Kluyveromyces lactis: one gene and its partner. The protein of the gene in region 2 binds, or shares a complex with, the protein of the main gene of each other region. Links are inferred from orthologs where the notes say so. Each region holds a gene or a part of one and is shown on either strand. Other genes may lie near its edges.

Region 1 (5,297 bases), on a different chromosome or scaffold from region 2:
TTTAGATAATAGCGACAATTTTATAGCAGAATAGAATTCTTTCAAGTTTACTTGGAAACTTCCTGATTCAGAGTTACTGTCACACATGAATAACGGTAGATCTAACTTTGAAATCACAGATGAGCAGTTATCTATTAAGATGTGCGGCTGTTCAACTTCCAAAATAGGAGGATCGTTGATTAATGTTGATACTGCTAGCAAGTAGTTTTCGAGTTTTTTTGTAACTGCCGGAGTAAACCCCCACTTTGAAACAGGTGTATTTGTTAGAAAATGCCAGATTGATGCACCTGTGGCTGTGGCATTTTCATGTAATTTCTGAAGGGTGTTACTACCAAATCCTTTTAAAGCTGCTAAAGTAACAATAACACTGAAATTACTTTTAGTTTTCATGGTGAAAGACGCGTCTTTAGGCAGTGTAGCTTCTTCTATGACCGAAACAGCGACTTGAAGTAAATCAATCATGAATCTTATCCGCTGATCTGACATCCAATCTGGCTGCGTTGTTAATTTTGAAACGGGAATTCCGAATGTTGAAAGGTGGTCAGCAATCGCCTTTGAATGAGAATTGGTCCTTGCTAAAATGCCAATGTCAGATAGTTTTGCAGAAGAACAAACTAGCTGACATATTTCACTCACAATGAAGTCCAATTCATCTATTAATTCTTCGCAATTGTATTTGATGGGGTAAACTCCGGAAGGATGTTTTTCTACTATATTTTCTCTTTTAATCTGAACAGGAACGGTTTGGTTTATAACAGCATTGGCTGCAGCAGTTATTTCTGGTGTACTACGGAAATTGTCATGGATGTACTTAGTGAATTTTTTATCATCAGGTCTTAACCTGTCCAATTCAGACATGACTTCTTTGTTACTTCCCAAAAACTCATAAATGCTTTGATTGATATCTCCAAATATTAAAAAGTGTTTTTGACCAAGTAATGTCTTTAATAGTTTAAATATACCTGGATATAAGTCTTGGAATTCGTCAATAATTAAAACTTTGGCTTCATTTAGTACAAATTTGGTGAATGCAGTATCCTCTTCTGAATTCGGCTCTTTTAAGAATTCCACAGCCATTTTGATTAAATCATCGTTAGTCAAAACATTTGAATGCTTCATTAACTTTGTTACTTTTTCAATGGTCTCATCAATATTATCTGTGTCAATTTGGTATTCATTTATAAGTTTCTGAAGCTTCTTCGTAATGATCCGGTCATTAGCAGTATTAACATTTCTCTTATTCCAAAAATCTTTTGGAATGAGCTTGACTAGACCTCTCCAACCGTTTTCCTCGATTATGTTCACAATACCCATATTTTCAGTAACTATCCTGTTCGAGAGGCCATGGATCGTGTAAATACCAATTTGGGAAACAATGTCATCAACTTCATGGTCAGTGTACGGTTTATCGCTTAATTCCTGAAAGACGCCTAGAAGATTATCTGTAATATTATCAACTGCTTTATTAGTCAAAGATAGAATAATAATTTCACGGGGTTTCACCTGCCCCGTTTGGATCAACTCTCGAACTTTGCATAGCAATGTATATGTCTTACCTGAACCGGGTCCTGCAATAACTTTCAGAGTGCTAGCAGGTATATAAGGGAATTGGATAATTTCATTCTGCGAATCAGTTGGCCTTTTCATCATACGATTGACCACAGACTACACTCTATGTTGAGTGGATCAGCCCAATGGATTTCCTCGTCACTCGACGTTCATATAGCTATTCTGTTTCGGTCATCTCAAATTAGCATATATATGGAACCGAAAATAAAGTAGAAACTGTTTATGTTTATTGACGTTTTTAAAATAAACGAGAAACGGCACAACTAAATAAATCGAAGATTGAATGTGTTATTCGTAACGAGATACTGTAATGGTTGTTCGTATACATATATATATATATATTTACTTACTATATGCTTCTAGTAGCTGTGAAAGATGAGTTTTCGTTTGTGAGAGGATGAGTGGTTCCTTTTCAGAATCTGTTCTGAGGAACGATTGTTGAAGGGCGTTGTAGATATACATATAATTTGTGGTTAGGAAATTATCAGCGTTTTTAGTCTTTTTGCTGCATTTTGTCATTATTGTTTCGAAATCATCACGAATTCTATTTATCGAGTGGAACAACGGTTCTGCCCTTTCATCTAAAAGTTCCTTGTGGGTTAACGATAGTTTCAATAAACTGAGAAGAAATTTGGAAAACTGTACCGTGAGTTCGTGAGGCGTTACTAACGGGTCTGAAGCGGTTCCAGCACCTCTAACACGGGCAACGTTGGTTGTTATTGAAACAGATCTTAATTGTTCACACTGGAAATCCACAAGTTTCTGAAATTTTGGCCATAGAAGAATCAACTGACCATCAAGATAATCATCAATGCACGGGATTTGACGATGTTGCGCTTCGAATTGTAGTCTATGTGCAACTCTAATGCTGATTAAGACACCAAATATATCGAATGATGTATCAATTAATTGATGCGTGAAGTCCATAGCATTATCAAAAGTTGGCTGGAAGATATCCAGAAGAATGGTTCGTATTAGATCACCTTTATCAGTTGGTAATCTGAAGAATTCATTCAAAAACATAAATTCTGCAGTGCAATTATCTAATAATGCCAAGTTTAAATTTTTAAATCCAACTTCGATGTAATTGGCAATTGGATTATTCTCTGCAATTTGCGATACCATAACTGTCCTATCTTCTTGCGTGATAAGATCCAACCGTTTTGATATTTGGAAATAGTCGTTAATGCTGTCATCAGTGACATTAAAGTGGGAAGCAGTTTGTGCGCCAAAGAGCGTTCTTCCACTGGCATAAAGATAATTAGAATAAGATCCTGAAACCGATGTATTTGAAAGACCTTGTCCTAATGCGTATTGAGAATCTATCTGGACGTACTGTAAAATTGTCAAAGATCTAATATATCTTGCAAAATATGTCTTATAATACCATTTCATCGTATTAATATATGCTTCTCGTAATTCTGTAGCTATGTCCGACTTGGTATTGTAGATCATTTGATAGATTTCTCTGACCTGAAGTAGTTCCTCTTGAATTCTTTGCGCTGGCACAGGATGTCCGTCCCTCAGTCTCTTAATTCTTATCACAATATATTTTTTAGCTCTTTCTGCAGAAACTGCCTTTAGTATTTGTAAGATTTCATTCAACTGTTCGAAATCATTTGGTCTCTCTGATTTATTTTCTTCTTGATACTTCAGGAATATCTCTTGTTTATCGTTCAAATAATCAATACAATCAATCCATTTTTGATCAATCTTGCCTCTTAACACTTGATATATTATTTCAGGAGAGATTATCAAATCATTAACGATGGGACTTATGTCTTTCAACTTCGAAGAGTTACTCTTCAGTAACGATGAAAACTCAGAAAATTTACCCTTAACGAAATCGAGATCTTTAGTCAAATCGTTCAACTTGTTGTTAAATTCGGCAAAGTAATTTTTCAAACTCGGTATAAGTGTCTCAGTAGAGGTACGTATTGATTGGTTCTTTTCCATGAGATCATCAAATTCCTTGAGGAATTCAGTATGTAATTGATATTCTTTTTTTAGGGTCGAGTCAACGTAGGCTCGGTAAGTATCAATGTTATCATCTTTACCTGATGGAGAATCCTCTGGCAGTTGAAGTTCAGTTGCATCTAATTCTAACAGATCGCTTAAAACATCCATTATAATTTCAATATATGGTTTTCTGTCACGAACAGAGTGTAATACAATTTGAAGTATCTTTCTTTTCCAACTGTATTCTTTGCGGTGTAGTCGATGTTCTTTTTGATATATTTCAGGCTTTTCGTATTTTTTCTGAAAGTTGTAATACACACACACATCAGGAAAACGAAATGCTGACGGTGAGCGAACGGGGGAGTAGTTTAATTATATGCTTTCTATAGGTCCCCAAGCTTGAAAACTTTGGGTCATTTAAATATTTACAATCATTATGATTACTTTTTGGATGTTAATTATGTGGTAATAGTCTATTTACGATTTAAGCTTTTGAATTTTAGCTAACATACCTGATAGTTGAAGATGAGTCCCGACACCTTCAAGAATTCTCATATGTGTAAAGCCGATTTCCTTGATCATCTCCAATCTAACCGTTTCCTTAACTTCATCGAGATTTTTCATTACTCTGAAACAAGTTATCACTATATCTACCGCAGAGTAGCCTTTAACCCAAAGTTCTTTTAAATATTGCAGCGATTCATCGAGAGATCCAGATAATAGCATTCTCTTGACTATTAGTGGATGCGGGGAATCAACAATTTGGAAAACGTTCTCCCCATTTACTAAACCGAAACCAGCAACTGTACTTTGTAAATTGTTTATTGCCTGTCTCATGTCACCTTCGGCAGTGAAGATAATAGCTTCGAGACCATCATTCGTGTATTGAACATCTTCCAGCTTTATAATTTCCAATAATCTTTTGAGAACCTGTTCATCAGTTAGTTTCGAGTAACGTAGTATTGCACAACGAGATTGTAAAGGTTCAATTATCTTATTAGATTGGTTACATGCAAAAGCAAATCTCGTCGTATTAGAGTATAACTCCATTGTTCTTCTCAAAGCCTGCTGAGCACCACTGGTCATTGAATCTGCCTCATCCAAAATGATAATCTTATGCTTACCTGCTGGTAGCGTGCACTTCTTTTGGGCAAAATGCTTTATCTGATTTCTGACGACTTCGATACCTCTGTCATCAGACGCATTCAACTCCAATACAGCCTGTGAATACGCATCACCTAATAGCTCATGTGCCAAACAGTGTATCGAAGTTGTTTTACCAATACCTGGTAGGCCACTGATAATCATGTGAGGCATATTACCATCAGCAGCGATGGTTTGTAGCCGTTGCACCGTATCCTCATTCCCTACAATATCTTTCAATAAATGCGGTCTGTATTTTTCAACCCATGGTAATTCCAACTTGGTAGCGTAGGACATCTTTCAAAATCAATCTTCTAAGAACTGATCTGAACCCCCTGTTATAGTTATTAATCGGTCAATTGATAGTGACCCAGAGTTATGTATTTTCTTTTCAACCTCGACAGAACCATTATTTTCATTTGGCTCTGTGAATTAAATGCTCTCTACATTTCAAAGTTTCAAAGATTTAGATATAAATACATGTTGATAAACCAAAAAAAAAACAAGAAGAGAAGAAGTACAATCAGGCGCTTGGACATACTTACTAGTATCAATTTTGGCACGTTAATATGGTGTCACGCTCTCGGGATTGATATAATTCGAATCGTTGTGTTAATCGCGAAACA
Region 2 (9,647 bases):
CTCTTCAAGAAGAATCGATATCTACCAAAAAAAGATCTATCAGTGAGGTTGAATGAGATCTTCATATTCATGTAATAATACAATCATTTCATAGAGCTCTTATTTGGTATAAATACCTATTTTTCCTCAAGGGATCGATAATTATCAACTTATCAAGATATTCTCTAGATTTTGATTTTATATCTTCCTTGAGGATATCTTTTTGAATGAACTCAATCACAAGTAGTGTCTTTAGACACCAAATATTATCCTTTCCAGAGAAACTAATATCATCATCGTTTATAAGTTCAATGATCTCGGTTAGTTCTTTTAGCATACTGCTATACTTTTCTGACGTCATATGCTCTTTTAGTGCACTCTCTTTAATAAACCAGATCAGATACGTCCAGACAGATTGATCTTCAGCATCAGTGAACATGGCATTCTTTATGTACTGAAATTCATCGTCGATGAAGGACTCTTTGTCAGCTATTTGATCTCTCGCCAGCATATGTTCAATTATATTCGTTCGTTGGAACCACGCGCTAAAGTTAGAGATATTTTGATTTATTTTCGCGGTTGTGTATTCAAACTCTTGTGAATTTAGACAGTTTCCGCTTAAGCGTTCTACTGTGCTTACGATGTATCTTCTGTAATGCCATCCATGGAAATTTCTCGCATCCATTTCCAGTAATTTGCCAACAATGGCTAATTCTTTCAACCAGATTTTCAAGGGAGAATTAGGATAATGCTCTAAACACCAAACCCTGTGATTCCATATCCAGTATACTTTTGGACGAACCTTCAATTTGTCCATAGTGAAAGCAAGTTCCCCATCCCAGAAAGTTTGATCCAGTGATGGGGCAAGTAGTTTTATAATTTCACGTCTATAATTCCAGATGGTGTTGAATTCTGGATTGATATTAAGTAACTGGGTAGTCTTCAGAAGAGAGTCCTTGTTTGCTACTCTTTTATTCTTCAATTCTAAAACCTCATCTGATAATTCTCGATAATCGAGGATTTCCTGTCTCTCCTTCTCGCGCTTCTTCCTTAATAACTCCTTTGTCCACTCTCTTCGTGTAACACCATGCTGAATTCATTTCAATTTGTAAATGTTAGTAATCTGCAATTGTATATTATGAGAATCTTCTTTGAAAAGAGTGCCGAGGTCTGCCATACCATTATTTGTCCTCGAGTCTCTGTGGAATTGAGTTTAACGTTCTGATTTGCTGTTCATCATAATCATAACTTATAAGTTTGAATGTTAATTATAAAAAATAGTAGTTTAAAATGAGCTCAATAACATATGTTTTTTGAACTTGCTTCGACGAACAAGGATTCAGAAGAGACTGGAAAGTAAAATTGGAAACATGGATTTGATATCATTAAAAGGTTCGACACGAATTGTTACTGAGTTCTTTGAATATAGTATAAATTCAATATTATATCAACGAGCAGTATACCCGGCAGAAGACTTCGCTACAGTTAAGAAGTATGATTTGAGCTTATTAAAAACACAAGATACAGAACTTAAACAATACATACGGGAAATTCTCCGGCAGGTTCATAGGTGGTTATTGGGAGGTAAATGTCACCAGCTTGTTCTGTGTATAGTAGATAAGGATGATGGTGAAACAATTGAAAGATGGAAGTTTAACGTAGATTCTCACAGCAACAAGAACGATACTGATGATGATATGAACATTCCATTAGAGGAAACCCAAAAGGAGATTCGGGCAGTACTTAGACAGATAACAGCCAGTGTCACTTTCTTGCCCGAATTGAAAAATGAAGGTAACTATACTTTCAATGTTTTGGCCTATACTGATAGTAATGCGAATGTTCCACTAGAATGGACAGATTCTGATTCAAAAGAAATAGCGAAGGGGGAATCTGTGCAATTCAAGTCTTTCGGTACATCGGCCTATTCAGTGGGAGCTGAAGTCACTTATAAGTTCTAACAAAATTAATGGCTGAACTTATTGCATTTCCTTTTAATACTTATGCTACAAATAGGAACAAGATATAGTAGAAAAGGCACATAATACTTAATTCAACTCGAGAAAGCTCATACTAATTCAATCATCTTGGTGTCTTTTCCAAACTTCTATCCAAATCTTGAGATGTTCAATTAGCTTTTGTCTTAAGAGTCCTTCGCATTCTTCCTGCATAAATGGGAAAAGGTTGGACAATAAGCACGTTTTGAACAACTTTAATTTTGACACGGCTGCCATATCAACCCTCAACTCTTCTTTAACTCTAAGAAGAGCAGTAAAATCGAGTTTAATGTTGTCTGACTCTGCTGCTATTTGGATTATATCCTGAATTATTGCTATTTCATTTGCTAGATTTACGGTGTATCCATTATCCAATTTGACTGAGAGATATGTCAGCCTATCATAAAGCGGTTCGGCCACAAACTCAGGTATATCAAGTTCTTTTACTATTTGAAACTCTTTGCGCTCTTCAGCTAATTCATCAAAAATATCGTAAACTTGTTTTGGGTCAAACGTATCATTCAAATCGGTTCTGATCAATTCCACAGGAAACATCAGAGCAAAATGTGATTCACCAACAACATCTATAAACATATCAATTTCCTTAAACTCAGCATCTGTAAGCGTGCTTTCAGCTATAGTGAAAAAAATCATTATGTAGAAGAATGGAATCATTGCATGAGGATACCAGGTCTGATTTCAAAATAAAGTCGATAGCCGAACCAACTTGTGCGGCACATTTTGTCATATAATCAGATATATTGTAAGTGCTCAGGTTAACTGATATATCTTAATATTCATAAGTAAATAATATCTTCGAGTTTTCTGTGTCATTTTGACTTGACGCATTGACATGCCTCGAAAATGTTAAAAAAAGCCTATTTAAACTGATAAATCTGCTACAGAGGTAAAGGTAGTATTACAAGTAGTGTTGCTGTTTCGTTGGTCAAACTGCGTGTGGAAGCTTCTCTACAGAAGCAGTTAGCCCTTCTTGAAAAAAAAACTGGAGTTTGACATAAGGTTTTTTATCTCATTCAATTTATGTCCAGGAATCTTAGGGGATGGAGACCCAGTGGGTGGACTAGGGGAGGACTGTATAGCTACGGATAAATCAGGACGTGGAACAGGTTTAATCTTGAGGTCTTCCTCCAAAAATGTTTTCCATGATGGATCTGATACCCTCGATAGATTGTAAATAAAGTTTTGTAGTTCTCTAGGGTTGAAAATAAGGTCATCTGGTTTCATCGGTTGAGTATCATCATCTGATTGTTGAAATTCTGACCATACTCTTTTCCAAAGTGCCAAATCCCAAGGTACACCTTTTAGCGCTAGTATAAATGCCCAGAAATTTGAGTTTGTATTCTGACTTGCGGTTATTGCATAATAGGTTTCCAAGTATGTTGTATCAGGGTCAATAGGAGAGACAAGTAACTTTAAAAGATGCATTAGTTTTTCCACATTACTATCTATGTGTTTCGTGACTCTTTTAGCTGATGTGTCATGTTGCGGTAAACTTTCCGGAAGTGAATGCAACGTTGTCTTCAATAGTTGAACGTCTAACAATAATTGTTCTGCGATATTTATCACTTGCTTCACATCGAACTGTCTTTTCGAATTAAGAGTGCCATATGGTAAAGCTGGTTTCAAGAGCTTTATAATTTGAGATTCAAAAGAGATAGCTATTAAATCAATAGTTTTATCAATAAAATTCCAACCATAAAGATCTCTATTGAATTGAGAAACAGTGGAGTAAAATGTTGAATTTTCCGATCTTGTTGGTAGGAGGATACTCTGTAAGGTAGTCACATATCTGCTGTAATCTTCCACCATTGTATTAGCCCAATTTGTGTTTGTGAACTCCCTCCATACAAATTCCAAATCTTTCTTCAGGATGCGATTTAGTAGTAAATTGATACCACCCGATACGAGATCCATGTATTTTTGCCTTGTAGGTTCAAAAATGGCTGCAACTTTGTTGATATTTGGCTCATCATTCTCAAGATATTCACAGAGTTTATCTTGCAATTGATCAATTGTATTTGCGCAATAGTCTGCTGTATTGACAAGAAGAACGGTATATTTCACTACTTCATTCTTATCATCGATTTGTGTATCCTCAGGTAACAACAATGGTTTCAAAATCTTTTCATAATATTCATTCAACCATTTGACGAAGAAAACCGCCAATTCCACCATTATGGTCGATTTATTACCGCCTTCTATCAAGCTGAAAGTTTGAGAAAGAATGTGTCTATAAGTTCTAAACAAGTCTGCACTGGATGGAACGACAAGCGATTCATTTTTAGCTGGGAGCTTGGTCTCATTAAGATATGTCAACATCTTGGCGTTCAAAGATGAATCTTGGTGTCTAACCCATAATTTCAAATATGGCTCAAAGCAAGTGGATATTTTACCCTCGTATATATGGGAAAACTTCACTGATATGTATTTTTCAAACTCTAAGGTAGTTTGTAACGATTGCATGAATAGGTCAATGGAGGTGGTACCGGACAAATCTCTCTTCAATAATGTTTTCAAATCGTTAGACGTCATTGTGAAGAAAGAATCCGTTAGTTTCAAAGGTATCTCCCATTCTGATGGGAAATATTCGCTGAAAGTAGACTGGAAATTATTTAATACTTTTTTGAAGAAGATGTAACGTCTAGACAAATTCTCCAAAGAACCAGCTTCATCATCAATTTGGAAGATTTCTTTAATTTCATACAATAGAGAATCCAAACACAATTGCACAATCCTTTCTTTATAATGCTTATTAGTGTCCGCAAGGCAACATATACCGTCTTTCATCGTTTTGCTGTCATATTTACTGTTAGACCCATCCCTAAGCACTTCTTTCGTTACTCTCTCACACACCAATAGTGTATCACTCTCTAAACGATGAATTTGATTTAGAAACTTACAAAACTCATCCAAAGATTTATATTCGTGGAAAGATACAGATAAGGAATGCATAACTTTAAAGGGGCCGCACATTTCAATGTATTTTTCAGCTTGCATGTACTTTTTAGAGTTCACGTATGCATCACTCAAGATCTTCAAATTTTCAAAGCACGTCATCGATCTCGTTATATTCCTCTTAGCGTTATCCAAATCTGAAATATCATGTGTCAAGTCGGATATGGTTGCTTCAGTAATCTGTGACAGAGACTTCGTTGAATTTATCTTCTCAAACAACTTGTGGAAATCATAATTGTCTTCTAAACTATTGACTTCTGAACTGGTGTTATTGCTTTCTCGTACCCGCTCCTCTAAATTAAATTTACATTTTTCGGTTAATAGCACTAGGTTATCAATATCTGATAAAGATTCCTGCTTCGAGAATATCTGTTGAAGATCGTGTAAGGGATCGTATTCCAAAGATTCTGAAATCATTACTTGTTAAGTTCTAGTTATTCAATTCAAATTAATGTGCGTGATACTAATACAGGAAACAATAATGGGGAGGAGCTGGATAGAGAAGGGAGAATTATACCTCTGCAACTTACAATTGCTGGCTCTTTTTGTCATTTACTGATGATACAACAAAGGTTCTTGTTATATTTGTTTCTGTATGCAATAATTACTATGAAAGTCTGATATCAGAAATATCGAAAAAAAATACAAAGTCTTTAAAAGGTGAATTGACAGTTCCAAACCCTTTAACTATGAAAAAAATAATGCTCCAGGGGAGGTTCGAACTCTCGACCTTCAGATTATGAGACTGACGCTCTTCCGACTGAGCTACTGAAGCAATTCCTTTGAGTAGCTTCATTGACACTGTACATATACCAGAACGATGTAATCTTCGCACTGCATAATATATTATTGCTCAACGAGTTACAGTGTGTAGCCAACGATGCTGCTCTTACAAACATATGTTTTGCATATGGCAGAACAACAGAGTAAGTGCCTTCCTGAGCTATATATTGAAATGGTTTGATTTGCCAGGATCAGCGAAGTTTTAAGATACATAACTCTATTCTGCTATGATTATTCCTAGGATGTTGACGTGGATGCATCCATCACCCAGCTACATACCTATTCTTTAGAGTAAGATGATAGTACTTTCAGATCTCCAGAAACACACATGTACACATGCCTTATTCAGACACTTTGTCCCTAGTAACTATTGGCTAAAGCATTCCCATATTTTCTGCATATCTCTCAATACTGAAAAAAAAAAATGCTAAAGTATCTTTTAACAACATAGTTGAAATATAGAAAACAGTGCGTGAACAAAGGTGGCGAAGACGAAACTTGTACGTGGAAAAGCTATACCTTGGAAGGAAAGCAGATAATTCACAAATCCTTGAAAAGCAGCATGTCTTTGAAACTTCCTCAAAATCCTAATGCGGGATTGTTCAAGCAAGGGTACAATTCGTACTCTAATGCTGATGGTCAAATCAATAAATCGATCGCTGCCATTAGAGAGATTCACCAGATGTGTTTAACTTCTATGGGGCCATGCGGCAGAAACAAGATCATCATTAATCATTTGGGAAAGCACATTGTGACCAACGATGCTGCTACCATGCTAAGGGAATTAGAGATTGTCCATCCTGCTGTTAAAGTGTTGGTGATGGCATCTGAACAACAAAAAATTGATATGGGTGATGGTACTAACCTTGTTATGGTGTTGGCTGGTGAGCTTTTGAATGTTAGTGAAAAGCTTATTGCGCTAGGTCTTTCACCTGTAGAAATTATTCAAGGTTACACAATGGCAAAGAATTTTACTTTGGCAGAACTTGACAAGATGTCTGTGTTGGATATCAAGAACAAACATGAAAAAAGTGAGTTAATCAAGGTCATCAAGCCAGTCATTGCATCCAAGCAATATGGTTCTGAAGATATTTTAAGTTCCTTAGTATCAGACGCTGTGGCACATGTCTTGCTACCAAATTCCAACTATTTCAATGTCGACTCAATTAGAGTGGTAAAGATTATGGGTGGTTCCCTTACCAACTCATCTGTTATCAAGGGTTTAGTCTTCAACCGCGAACCAGAAGGACATTTGAAGTCCTTGCCTCAAGGTGAAAAGCATAAGGTTGCTGTGTTTACATGTCCAATTGATATCTCAAACACCGAAACCAAGGGTACTGTGCTTTTACATAATGCTCAGGAGATGTTAGATTTCACTAAAGGTGAAGAACAACAACTGGACCAAATGATGAAAGAAATTGCCGAGACTGGTGTTAGATGTGTTGTTGCTGGTGCCGGTGTTGGTGAGCTTGCTTTACATTATTTGAACAGATACAATATTCTCGTCCTAAAGGTGCCAAGTAAATTCGAACTTAGAAGAATTTGCCGTGTGTGTGGTGCTACACCAATGCCAAGGCTAGGTGCCCCAACTCCAGAAGAAATTGGTATTGTTGAGACCGTAAAGACGAAAGAAATTGGTGGTGATAGAGTTACCATTTTCAAACAAGAGGAGAACGAAAACACTAGGACTGCCACAATCATCTTAAGAGGTGCTACGCAAAATAACTTGGACGATATCGAACGTGCCATTGATGACGGTGTCAATGCAATTAAGGGTTTAATGAAACAGGATGGTGGAAAACTTGTTCCAGGTGCCGGTGCTACTGAAATAGAGTTGGTATCAAGAATCAGCAACTATGGTGAAAAGACGCCAGGTCTAATGCAACTTGCCATCAAACAGTTTGCCGTTGCATTCGAAGTGGTACCAAGAACGTTGGCAGAAACTGCAGGTCTAAACGTTAATGAAGTACTACCAAACTTATATGCTGCCCACTCTCAAAAAACTGCGTCAAACGAAATCAACGATGGTTTGTACCAAGGTATTGATATAGACAACAATACCCCGGAATGCATCAAAGATATCAGAGATGAAGGCATTTATGATTTACTAGCTGCTAAGAAGTTCGCTATCGATGTCGCCACAGAGGCTGCGAAGACAGTACTTTCAGTTGACCAGATCATCATGGCCAAGAGAGCTGGTGGTCCAGCCGTACCAAAGGGTCCAAAACCAGGTAACTGGGACCAAGATGATTGATTCGAACATCTGTCCTCTTGGAAGCGCATAATTGTTCTCTCTTCTGTACACTAATTCCCCTACCACAAATAAAAAATTCAGATATAATTTTAATACTCACAGCTATACCTGTAACTGTCTTGAAAACGGTATCAATACCGCATATCATTATATATTTCATTCTTATGGTTGCTCTTAGACATCCTCTAAATCACGTGATATTAATTATATATCTTACCATCCTTTCCATATATGTGTCAATGTAAAATTAAATTATTTTTCACACAGTTCTGATTCCATTTTTCCAAAATTACTGTTCCTTTTCACAGAAATATCGATGACAACTTTTAAGGACAAAAACCAAAACTTTTCAACGATTTGAAGCTACGTTAGCGATTAGCGAAAGAAAAATATACGATGCGGGTCTGGACCCGAGAAAGAATAGGAGAACCAGAAATTAACAAGTATATCGATTGAGGAACAAAGTGCTTATCCGGGCGTATTGCTTAGATATAAGACAAAGCTAAAAGAGTCGGTACTGATTTTTTTGACCTGATCCTTAATTTTTTTTATTATAATAATAATAATAATAATAGTCGATTATTACAGTTGGGACTCAACTGAATATAAATCGTATTCCTTCTGTGGGTAGTCAGTATCTATCCCGTTATTAGATCAGTACTTTCAATAAGCTGATTTGATTTGGCAATTCATCAAGTTATGGTGGAAGAAATTGATCTGCCGCCAGATATTCGTTGGCAACTAATGGATGAAAGTAAAATGCACAAACCTGCTAATCCCAGACGAAAAAGCAGTATTTTTGGCTCGATGCATCGAGAAGAGTTCCCCATGTCCAATACTTCGTCAACAGACTCTCTAGATTTGTTGTTGGAGAAACAAAGGCAACGACAGTTGAATCATCCTTTGCATCAAAATCATATCAGAACAGTATTGGGCTCACATCTGAATAGTGGGCAACGAATAACGTATGGTCCAGTGAAAGAGACAAACACTGTTTCACTAGAGTATGATCCAATATCTAAACGAAAAGTTCTAAACACTTATGAAATCATTGAAGAATTAGGCCATGGGCAACATGGGAAAGTGAAATTAGCTCGAGATTTGGTTACAAAACAACTAGTTGCTATAAAAATTGTCAACAGACATAAAAAGCGTACTTTCAATGATAAATTCTCTAATAGATTCAAAACTCCTCAATCTGGCATTGAGGATGAAAAGATCAAGCGAGAAATTGCGATAATGAAAAAGTGTCACCACGAGCATGTGGTGAAACTAATTGAAGTTCTTGACGATGCTAAGTCAAGAAAGATTTACTTGGTGTTGGAATACTGTTCTAAAGGAGAAATAAAATGGTGTCCTGGTGATGTCATAGAAACTAAGGCAAGAGGTCCACCATTACTAAGCTTTCAACGTACTAGGGAAATTTTTAGAGGTGTGTTATTAGGATTGGAGTATCTCCACTTCCAAGGAATTATTCATAGAGACATTAAACCTGCAAACTTGCTACTTTCAGAAGATGGAATAGTAAAGATATCCGATTTTGGAGTTTCGTTGGCGTTTTCTTCAGATAGCAGCACAGACTCTTTAAATGAATTAGAGCTTGCTAAGACCGCAGGAACACCGGCATTTTTTGCCCCGGAAATTTGCCTTGTTGAAGA

The links. Proteins that work in one complex are often made in the same cells at the same time.
Region 1: VPS53 (region 2) and VPS52 share a complex: the UniProt entries of both Saccharomyces cerevisiae proteins name them as parts of the golgi-associated retrograde protein (GARP) complex. The link is inferred for Kluyveromyces lactis from reciprocal best matches to the Saccharomyces cerevisiae genes VPS53 and VPS52.

The regions. Positions count from the first base shown.
Region 1 is NC_006039.1:335,640-340,936, forward strand, and holds VPS52 (Vps52p), read right to left. Parts: upstream 3,697-5,297; coding exon 1,912-3,696; downstream 1-1,911. Other genes in the region: HMI1 (ATP-dependent 3'-5' DNA helicase), read right to left, coding at 1-1,650; RFC4 (replication factor C subunit 4), read right to left, coding at 4,006-4,968. UniProt on the Saccharomyces cerevisiae protein: Involved in retrograde transport from early and late endosomes to late Golgi by linking the vesicle through the t-SNARE TGL1 to the Golgi, leading to the membrane fusion between late Golgi and endosomal vesicles.
Region 2 is NC_006040.1:790,747-800,393, reverse strand, and holds VPS53 (Vps53p), read right to left. Parts: upstream 5,370-9,647; coding exon 2,958-5,369; downstream 1-2,957. Other genes in the region: CTK2 (Ctk2p), read left to right, coding at 1-56; Rab geranylgeranyltransferase BET4, read right to left, coding at 89-1,069, 1,159-1,161; spindle checkpoint protein MAD2, read left to right, coding at 1,350-1,940; KLLA0_D09416g (uncharacterized protein), read right to left, coding at 2,058-2,651; chaperonin-containing T-complex subunit CCT8, read left to right, coding at 6,298-7,989; KLLA0_D09328g (serine/threonine-protein kinase), read left to right, coding at 8,689-9,647. UniProt on the Saccharomyces cerevisiae protein: Involved in retrograde transport from early and late endosomes to late Golgi by linking the vesicle through the t-SNARE TGL1 to the Golgi, leading to the membrane fusion between late Golgi and endosomal vesicles.